2 linked regions of the Arabidopsis thaliana genome follow. The protein of the gene in region 1 interacts with the protein of each later gene in a pairwise test. Each region holds a gene or a part of one and is shown on either strand. Other genes may lie near its edges.

Evidence for each region. Proteins that work in one complex are often made in the same cells at the same time.
Region 2: the proteins of AT1G05805 (region 1) and AT4G10600 interact in a two-hybrid assay, tested with the Arabidopsis thaliana proteins (one large-scale study listed by BioGRID).

The regions. Positions count from the first base shown.
Region 1 is NC_003070.9:1,742,601-1,746,358, reverse strand, and holds the start of AT1G05805 (basic helix-loop-helix (bHLH) DNA-binding superfamily protein), read right to left. Parts: upstream 1,916-3,758; 5' UTR 1,517-1,915; coding exon 1,042-1,516; intron 150-1,041; coding exon 1-149. Other genes in the region: DGL (alpha/beta-Hydrolases superfamily protein), read right to left, coding at 3,740-3,758.
Region 2 is NC_003075.7:6,546,750-6,550,507, reverse strand, and holds AT4G10600 (RING/FYVE/PHD zinc finger superfamily protein), read left to right. Parts: upstream 1-1,629; 5' UTR 1,630-1,860; coding exon 1,861-2,574; 3' UTR 2,575-2,667; exon of another isoform or gene 2,668-2,839; intron 2,840-2,942; 3' UTR 2,943-3,273; downstream 3,274-3,758.

The sequences.
Region 1 (3,758 bases):
GTGGACTGGGGTCTCATTGACCTCGTTGATCCGAGCCAGAGAGTCGTGATTCGTGAAGCTTAGCTGAGACTTCAATCTGGAATGTCCTCGTCCCCCATTAGACCCTCCTTGCGGACTATAATCACTGGTTGGTTGGTTCAACGAGAAATCTGATTTACAAAGTAAACTATATTATAATGACATTACGTGAAAATTATTTTTAAAAATAATTCACATTCACATCCAAAATATTAGAAACCATATAATGTAAGTAAATAAAGAGGGATTTTTGGATAATATGGATAGTTGAATTCCGGTTCAGGCCGGTGACCGGTTAGGTGTGGGAAGTCACATCCAGGCTTGGTGGAAGATATTATGATTAGATAACAACGAAGCAAAGCACGAATCATCAGGACCAAGGAAAAAATAATATAAAAGTGGACAGATCAGATCCACCAACTAGATCTACATCGCTTTCTATTTGAATAATCTTCATCACAACCAATGATATTTCGCCATCTCAGCAGAGAAACTATTGGTCATCAACGAAAAAATCCATCCTCTAAATAAATAAATGCAACTTGAGATATAGGAATCCTCGAAGATTTAAATAATATCCCAAATTAAGGGTAACCGAGCCACATTTTTGCTGTATTTTCAAGCACGTGGTTAGGGATCAAATGGTATTTTCGTCATTCCGAAAATACGAGGATCACGTCTTGCACAAGTACCAACCAAGCTAATTTAGCAACGACCCTAAATATCAAAGCTCACAATGTCAACTTATTTTATATACATAGTCGTTAATTAACTTGTAAGAAACTAGATACTTCACAGTGAGAAATACCGAAAATACCCTCGTGGTTAGATTTTCATTTCACCAAAAAACGGATCTTTAGTTGAGCAATGAATGATTGAATGACTGAAAACTATATAGCTCATATTCTACATTACGATTTTTGGCAAATTCTAAGGAAAAATGGTCTGAAAATGAGTAAACTTGTCTGTCTAAATATATATATCTCATCACAGTTACTATTCTTGAGTAAAAAAAGGACTAACTGTTTTTATCTGAGGCGAGGTAGGTGAAGAAATCGGCGGGAGAGCTACGTTGTCTAGCGAGAGAGTAAGATCCTGAGCTGTTTCCTCCTCCGATGTCGTTGCTCTTGTGTTGTTGCGAGATCTCGTTGAATCCACCGTAGGATCTGTCGAGGAAGATATCTTTATTACTATTATTATTATTGTTATTGCCTAGCTGTTTCTGTCCGTCGGATGAGTTGTTGACTCCACAAGTCGTCGAATCGGATCTCAGCGAGGATGAGTCAGCAGCTCCGGTGAAAAAGTTACCGATGAAGTTATCCGACGACGGTTGATAGCCGGTGAAGTCACGAGCGTTTGATGAGCCTCCTCCGATGACTTCGTCAACCACAGAGTTTAGAAACGATCCCGGAGCTGAGCCGTAACGGATCAGTCCTCCGCCGCCGGGAAGCGATGATCTCTGCGATGATGATGACGTGGAGGATGATGATTGGTACATGACTTCTTCTATCGCCAAATGGAGAGAGAGAAATCTGAAAAGTTTGGTTTCTAAAAGAAAAATAAAAGATGAGAGAGAGATGATGCTTTTGTTTATGGGGTAACAAAAAGTCTTCACTTTTCAGCGATTGGCTATTCGTTGGATGTCACATGTGTCTCACGTGATCTTCCGAAAGATATGGTATTAAATTTAAACCGAAATAAGCCAATCAAAAACCTTTATTAATACTTATTTATTTTGTAACGAGTCAGCTTAACCTTTGGGCTTTGGGGCCGCGAATATGTGGGCTGGGCTTGATAAAAAGATAAGCAACATTTGCGATGTCTTTGATTAAGTTTAAATTTCCCAAGATGTTGAGGTTTTCAGTGGAATGCAATTATTTTTCTCTAGTGTATATAACTCACATTGTTAATTTAAAGATTTCAAGATCACAGAAATGTTAAAGGTAAAAATTAAAATGATTCGATAAAATTCGACTTAATTGCTTAATAGTAAATTGAACAAACATAAATGCTTATATCAAATGCATGGTTCATCAATACTTTTTTGACGCAAACCTTTTTCCGATTGTAATTCAAAATAGTTCTGTTAATTTTTACCTAAACAATTAATATTGTTGTTATTATTATAAATAGAGCCCACAAATATGGACGTTTCCTCTTTCACCAGTTATTTTCAAATTTTCACAATAGTATATGAACTTCCACAAATGGAAAGAAGTAAAATTAAACGAGAACTCATCTTGTCTGAATTATATATCCATAAATTGGTGTGTAAAATGGAGTCGTAATTAAGATGCGTACGGATAATTAGCTACGACTGTGACATGCAAAATAAAATAAACGTTTTTCTGAAGAGTGAAACACATCTGATGCGCATGCAGGAATGATACACACATTGGTCTCCAAACGTACGTGTTTTTCTAGCCCCACCCTTATTGACCCCATGTGATTCGTAAGAAATCGAAGCTGAAATTCAAATTAGTTACTGTTCTAATTGTTATATATGTCTTTATTTTTATTGTCGAATGATGTGATCTGTAACCAAACTTCCAAATTCAAGTTGAATTATTTTCTTTCTTTCTTTTTCAACAAAACCTCTCGTGAACAGAGAATCCACATCGTGAACAAAACCTTTTTTCGGTTTTATGTTATATATAGAATAAGCTAGTGCATATATTTATAGATGAAAGCTTCCAAATGAGAAATTAAAAAGTTAAAAAAAGACCCTCGCATAACACGAGAAGGGACACATTTACAAATAAAAATGGGAAATATAGATAAAGATTGCATGTATTAATTAATATCTCAGTGAGTTTATTAACATTAAACCAAAAAAAAAAAAATATCTCAGTGAAAAAATAAATATAATTTAATATCTCCGTGAGTAATATAAAGACTCCGAAAGAAAAAGAGAGTATATGGAACTATTGCTGACGTTGTCTTTGACAAATAACATAGACAAATTGTATATATATTCGATGATTAAATTTGAGCATATAAATAACTTTATATATGAACTTTGATCATTTAGAACAAAAAATCAAAATATAAATTATACACTGTAACGATGTTGAAGATTTGACAAATGATTCTTATTGTTTTTTTTTTTTTTTTTTGCTAAATATGATTTCTTATTGTTCATTTTTAATCTTACAGGTTATAATGACGTTGAAGTTTTGACAAATGGCTTTGTCTTTGGCCATTATTTATATTTATAATCTAATACGTTGGTACCTCACGTCACTTCTACTATAATAATATACAATAACCAATTAACCATAACAAATTAATAATAGATGTCTGTTTTTATAACTAATAAAACAAAAAAAAATACATCTATCGATTAGGACTAATGGACTATAATATAAAAAGATACACAACAATGCTAATATGTACACGCCTGATATTGGATGATGTCCCTTTTTTTCATTCACAATTTTGAGTTCTTGTACTTCATCAACAGTTGAGAGCTTTAACCTAAAGAAAAGTATTATATTGTGAACTCATAGTAACTAAGAGAAGAAAATAATTATTTTTGTTCACATTGTGATAGATGAGACGCAATAATTTATCTTGGATGTGGAAAATATACTTTTTTGTATTAGGTTTTGCATATACATCTATATATGTACATTTCTTATGCTACGTAAAAGATAGGGCAATAATTATTTTGTCCTATCTTAAAAAAGAATCCAAAATTTTAGCTTGGATCAATCTAGACCTAAAATATATTATAATAC
Region 2 (3,758 bases), on another chromosome or scaffold:
TATCGAGTTCGGATTAAGACTTTGATAATCTATAAATACTTGAGTTGACTTATAATTATCATGATAAAGTTGAGCGGTGGTAGTTCAAAGAATTTTTAGTCTCAATCCATATAAGAAAGGATAGGAACAGAATGCATTGATCCATTAAAGGAATGTCAAAAAATTTCAATATCACTACATTTAAGGAATGTCAAACTTCTTCTAACTACTTTTTTAACTACCAAAATCTGAACAATTATCAGTTTCAAAATCAATCTCCTAACAATCCCCAATTTATGAAGGCTTATAGCAAAAATAAAGACTTGTTTTAATTAATTTGGACACAAAAACCCCATCTTTTTAAATTAAACTTTTGCTATCATCCTTCATAAACTCTTGTTTATTTTTTATCCGTCTTTTTAGTGAAATAGATCATAATAATATCATTTTAACTCCCAAAATTTTTCTAATTACCTTTTTAACTACCCAACATCAATCTCCTAACCATCAACATAATATAACAAATTATGGTTATCCACCAAATTTCTTTATATCGTCAACTGTTCCAAACTATCCTTCATATTTTAAAATATTTAATTTTTACTTATTTTAATTTTATTTGATATTAATTGTAATTAATTAATCACAAAAAACATAAACATAATTAAAATAAAAAATATAAAATAATGGTAGGGTAATGTGTTGTAATTTTATTAAACAAAACTATTGTAGTAAGTAAAAATTATGTAGGTATTGAATTATAATGTGGAGTGTTGAAAAGAGAAAAGTGGACATTGTAACCATGTAACTAATGTAGATAGTCTAACAGGTACACTAGTTGTACATGTTATTTTATCAACAATAGTTCTCTTCCTACTAATTAGAACAATTCAAGTCTAGTATCCATATATTATAATATAACATCTTACTAGTGCATGGGTTATTCAAAGATTCAATGATCATACAAAACATAAATCTACAAACTAAAATTCCCAAATAAAAATCATAAATCAAAGCCATCTCATTGAAGTTTCAGCTTTAACAAACACAAAATTAGCATAAAAACGATCAAAGAAAAAAACCTAAAAATCAAAACTTCAACTTCCAATATCTCTATTCCAATATCTTTCCTTCGATTTTTCTGTATGTCTTCCAAATTCTTTTTGTTTCCCTAATTGCTCAAGAAGTAATATCTTCGTCATTCTGTTTTTATTCAAGGTACATAGAAAGATTGATCCTAGACTACATCAAATTGGGTGTAGTCAGTGATATAGCTTCCCCGAAGTTAGCGGTTTTCGAAATCTTTTTGAAGCGGTTTCATATGATCGACCCAGAAGATTTTGGTACTACGACGTGACGAGTGGTTTTCAGAAGAACACATCTTCTACACGTGTCTTTAGGCTAAATTATACGTGCAAATATTTTTGCTAACTTCATTATGATTTAGTTATTTGACCGTTAATTTCCGCTTGTATTCCTCTTTGAGCTTGACCATTCTGTTTTTTATCTGCTTTTGGTTTTTAAATGAAATCGTTTGGTCCGTCCACAAAAAAAAAACAGTACCTATCCTCTAAGCCCGGCCCATCCCGGCCCATCCCGGCCCATCCCGGCCCATCCCGGCCCATACCGGCCCATATTTTAGTAATTATGGTTCCTATCTTCGTCTTCTTCGTTCAGAAATGGGAAGCGAGAACCATAGATTTACGTCAAGATAGCTTTTTTTCTATCAAGAATCGCAAAGCTATTTCGCGTAACATTACAATCGTCGTTCAGAAGAAACGAATTGGGTTTGACAAAGCTTCGATATTCAGGGAGATTTCTGGGTTAATTTGTGAAAGAATCAGAGAAATTTAGAGTTTTTTTTTTGGGGGTAAATTTGAGATGAAGCCACACGAAGATTGGGTTTATGAATCATGGACAGTAGATTGTGTTTGTGGTGTGAATTTTGATGATGGTAAAGAGATGGTTGATTGTGATGAATGTGGTGTTTGGGTTCATACATGGTGTTCTCGTTATGTTAAAGGTGATGATTTGTTTGTTTGCCACAAGTGTAAGATAAAAAACAATGAAGATGAATTGTCCAAGTTATCGGTTACTAAATCGTTGAGAATGGAGAATTTATGTACGCAGAGTAGTGAGAGTGTTGTATTGAAGGCTTGTTCAGAGATACCAATTGAAGAAAGGGTTCATGTACAAGGAGTTCCTGGTGGTGATTTGGGTTTGTTTGAATGTGTTTCTTCGGTTTTTAGTCGGCAGTTATGGAAGTGTAGTGGTTATGTGCCTAAGAAGTTTAGGTTTCAGTGTAGGGAGTTTCCTTGTTGGGATGAGAAGGAGAATGTGTGTGATGTTGTTGGGGATGAAGATGATAGTAATCTTGCTGGTGTTTTGTTGTCTATGTCGAAAGAAAACGGTGTGGATGGTAAGGGAGACAATGCTAGGAATTGTGGTTCTAGAGAAATTGAGAGTGATGTAGAGAAAGAGAAGAGCTTGCTTTGTGATCCTTTGAGTATATATAAGAGGAGAAACGAGTCGGTGGGTGGTTTTGAAGATGGGGTAAAGAAGAAGGTTAAAGTTGCTGATAAAGAGGAAGAATAATGATGTAAGAAGGCTTTGATTTGGATACAGAAGAGGCATTATGTGTTACACAACCAACATTTCTTATTTTAATAGATTTCTTACACAAGAATGGTAAGGTTTATAACTTTGTCACTAGTTTAGATTCTTAACCTTATATTCAGATATAACCACAATGGTTCATGGTTTCATTTGTCTTTGCAATCAACTAACAGTTGTAGGATACTTAACATCCACATAATATGCAATAAAAAGTGTAAATTCTTTCCATTGATGATAAACTCGATTGCTTGGTTTATAAGTTTGTGTAGGTCAAATTAGGAGCAAGAAAGGCTTGTTTTATCTTGATGATTAACTCAATCTTAGTCATTCATGTGAGCGGTTCGCAGTTTCAGGATTAGTAGGCGCTCAAAATCTTGAAGGCTTCGCGGACTCTCCTCGCCCTCCGTCCTTCCATAGATGAAGTTGAATTCTCTGACAATTCTCACCATGAACAATTTTAGGTGATTTCAAATAGATAAGAAAGCTCTTGTTGGAAGGCAGTGCACTAAAGGGTCCTGATATCCTACTTGTATTCCAAAAAACTCTTCTCTTGAATATGAAAGGCTGCAAAGCGTTGGTGCGACTTCCAAATTGTTTCCGGAACTTACGGAGTATATGCAGAATTTTGTGCTTTATGGAACAAGAATAAACTTGAAATGCCAAAGTTATTGCATTGCATTGAGTCTGTTTTATGCTTAAGTGCAACTGTGCAAGCTAACATCAGCCATCTGATATGGCTTTACTTCAAGAATCGCTAGAAGCTCAAATCTTAAGTGCCACATGGTTTATGTTTGATGTTTTGTGTCGCTTGGTAGGCACATATTTAGTGGCCATTGTTGTAGGATCCAAATCGCTAAGTAAAAGAAAAGTCTCAATTCTATATGAAACTCATGTAAATCCATTAAAACTCATTGGAGAAAAGCCCTTAATTATCCATATAAGCCCGTAACGAGAGAGTAAACCTAAAATTTCGTTAGACAAAAAGAAAACCCTAGCCGATTAATATCCTTATAAATAGATAGGTAGTCTCCTTAATTTTCTCCTTAGTCAAAATCTTAGAGAGAGTCCGAGGAAACCCTAGCCACCGTCGTTGCCGTAACTCGTTCGCCTGAGGATAATGATCAATTGGGTTTATGCTAGAGTTAAATCGGGTCTTGAAAAGA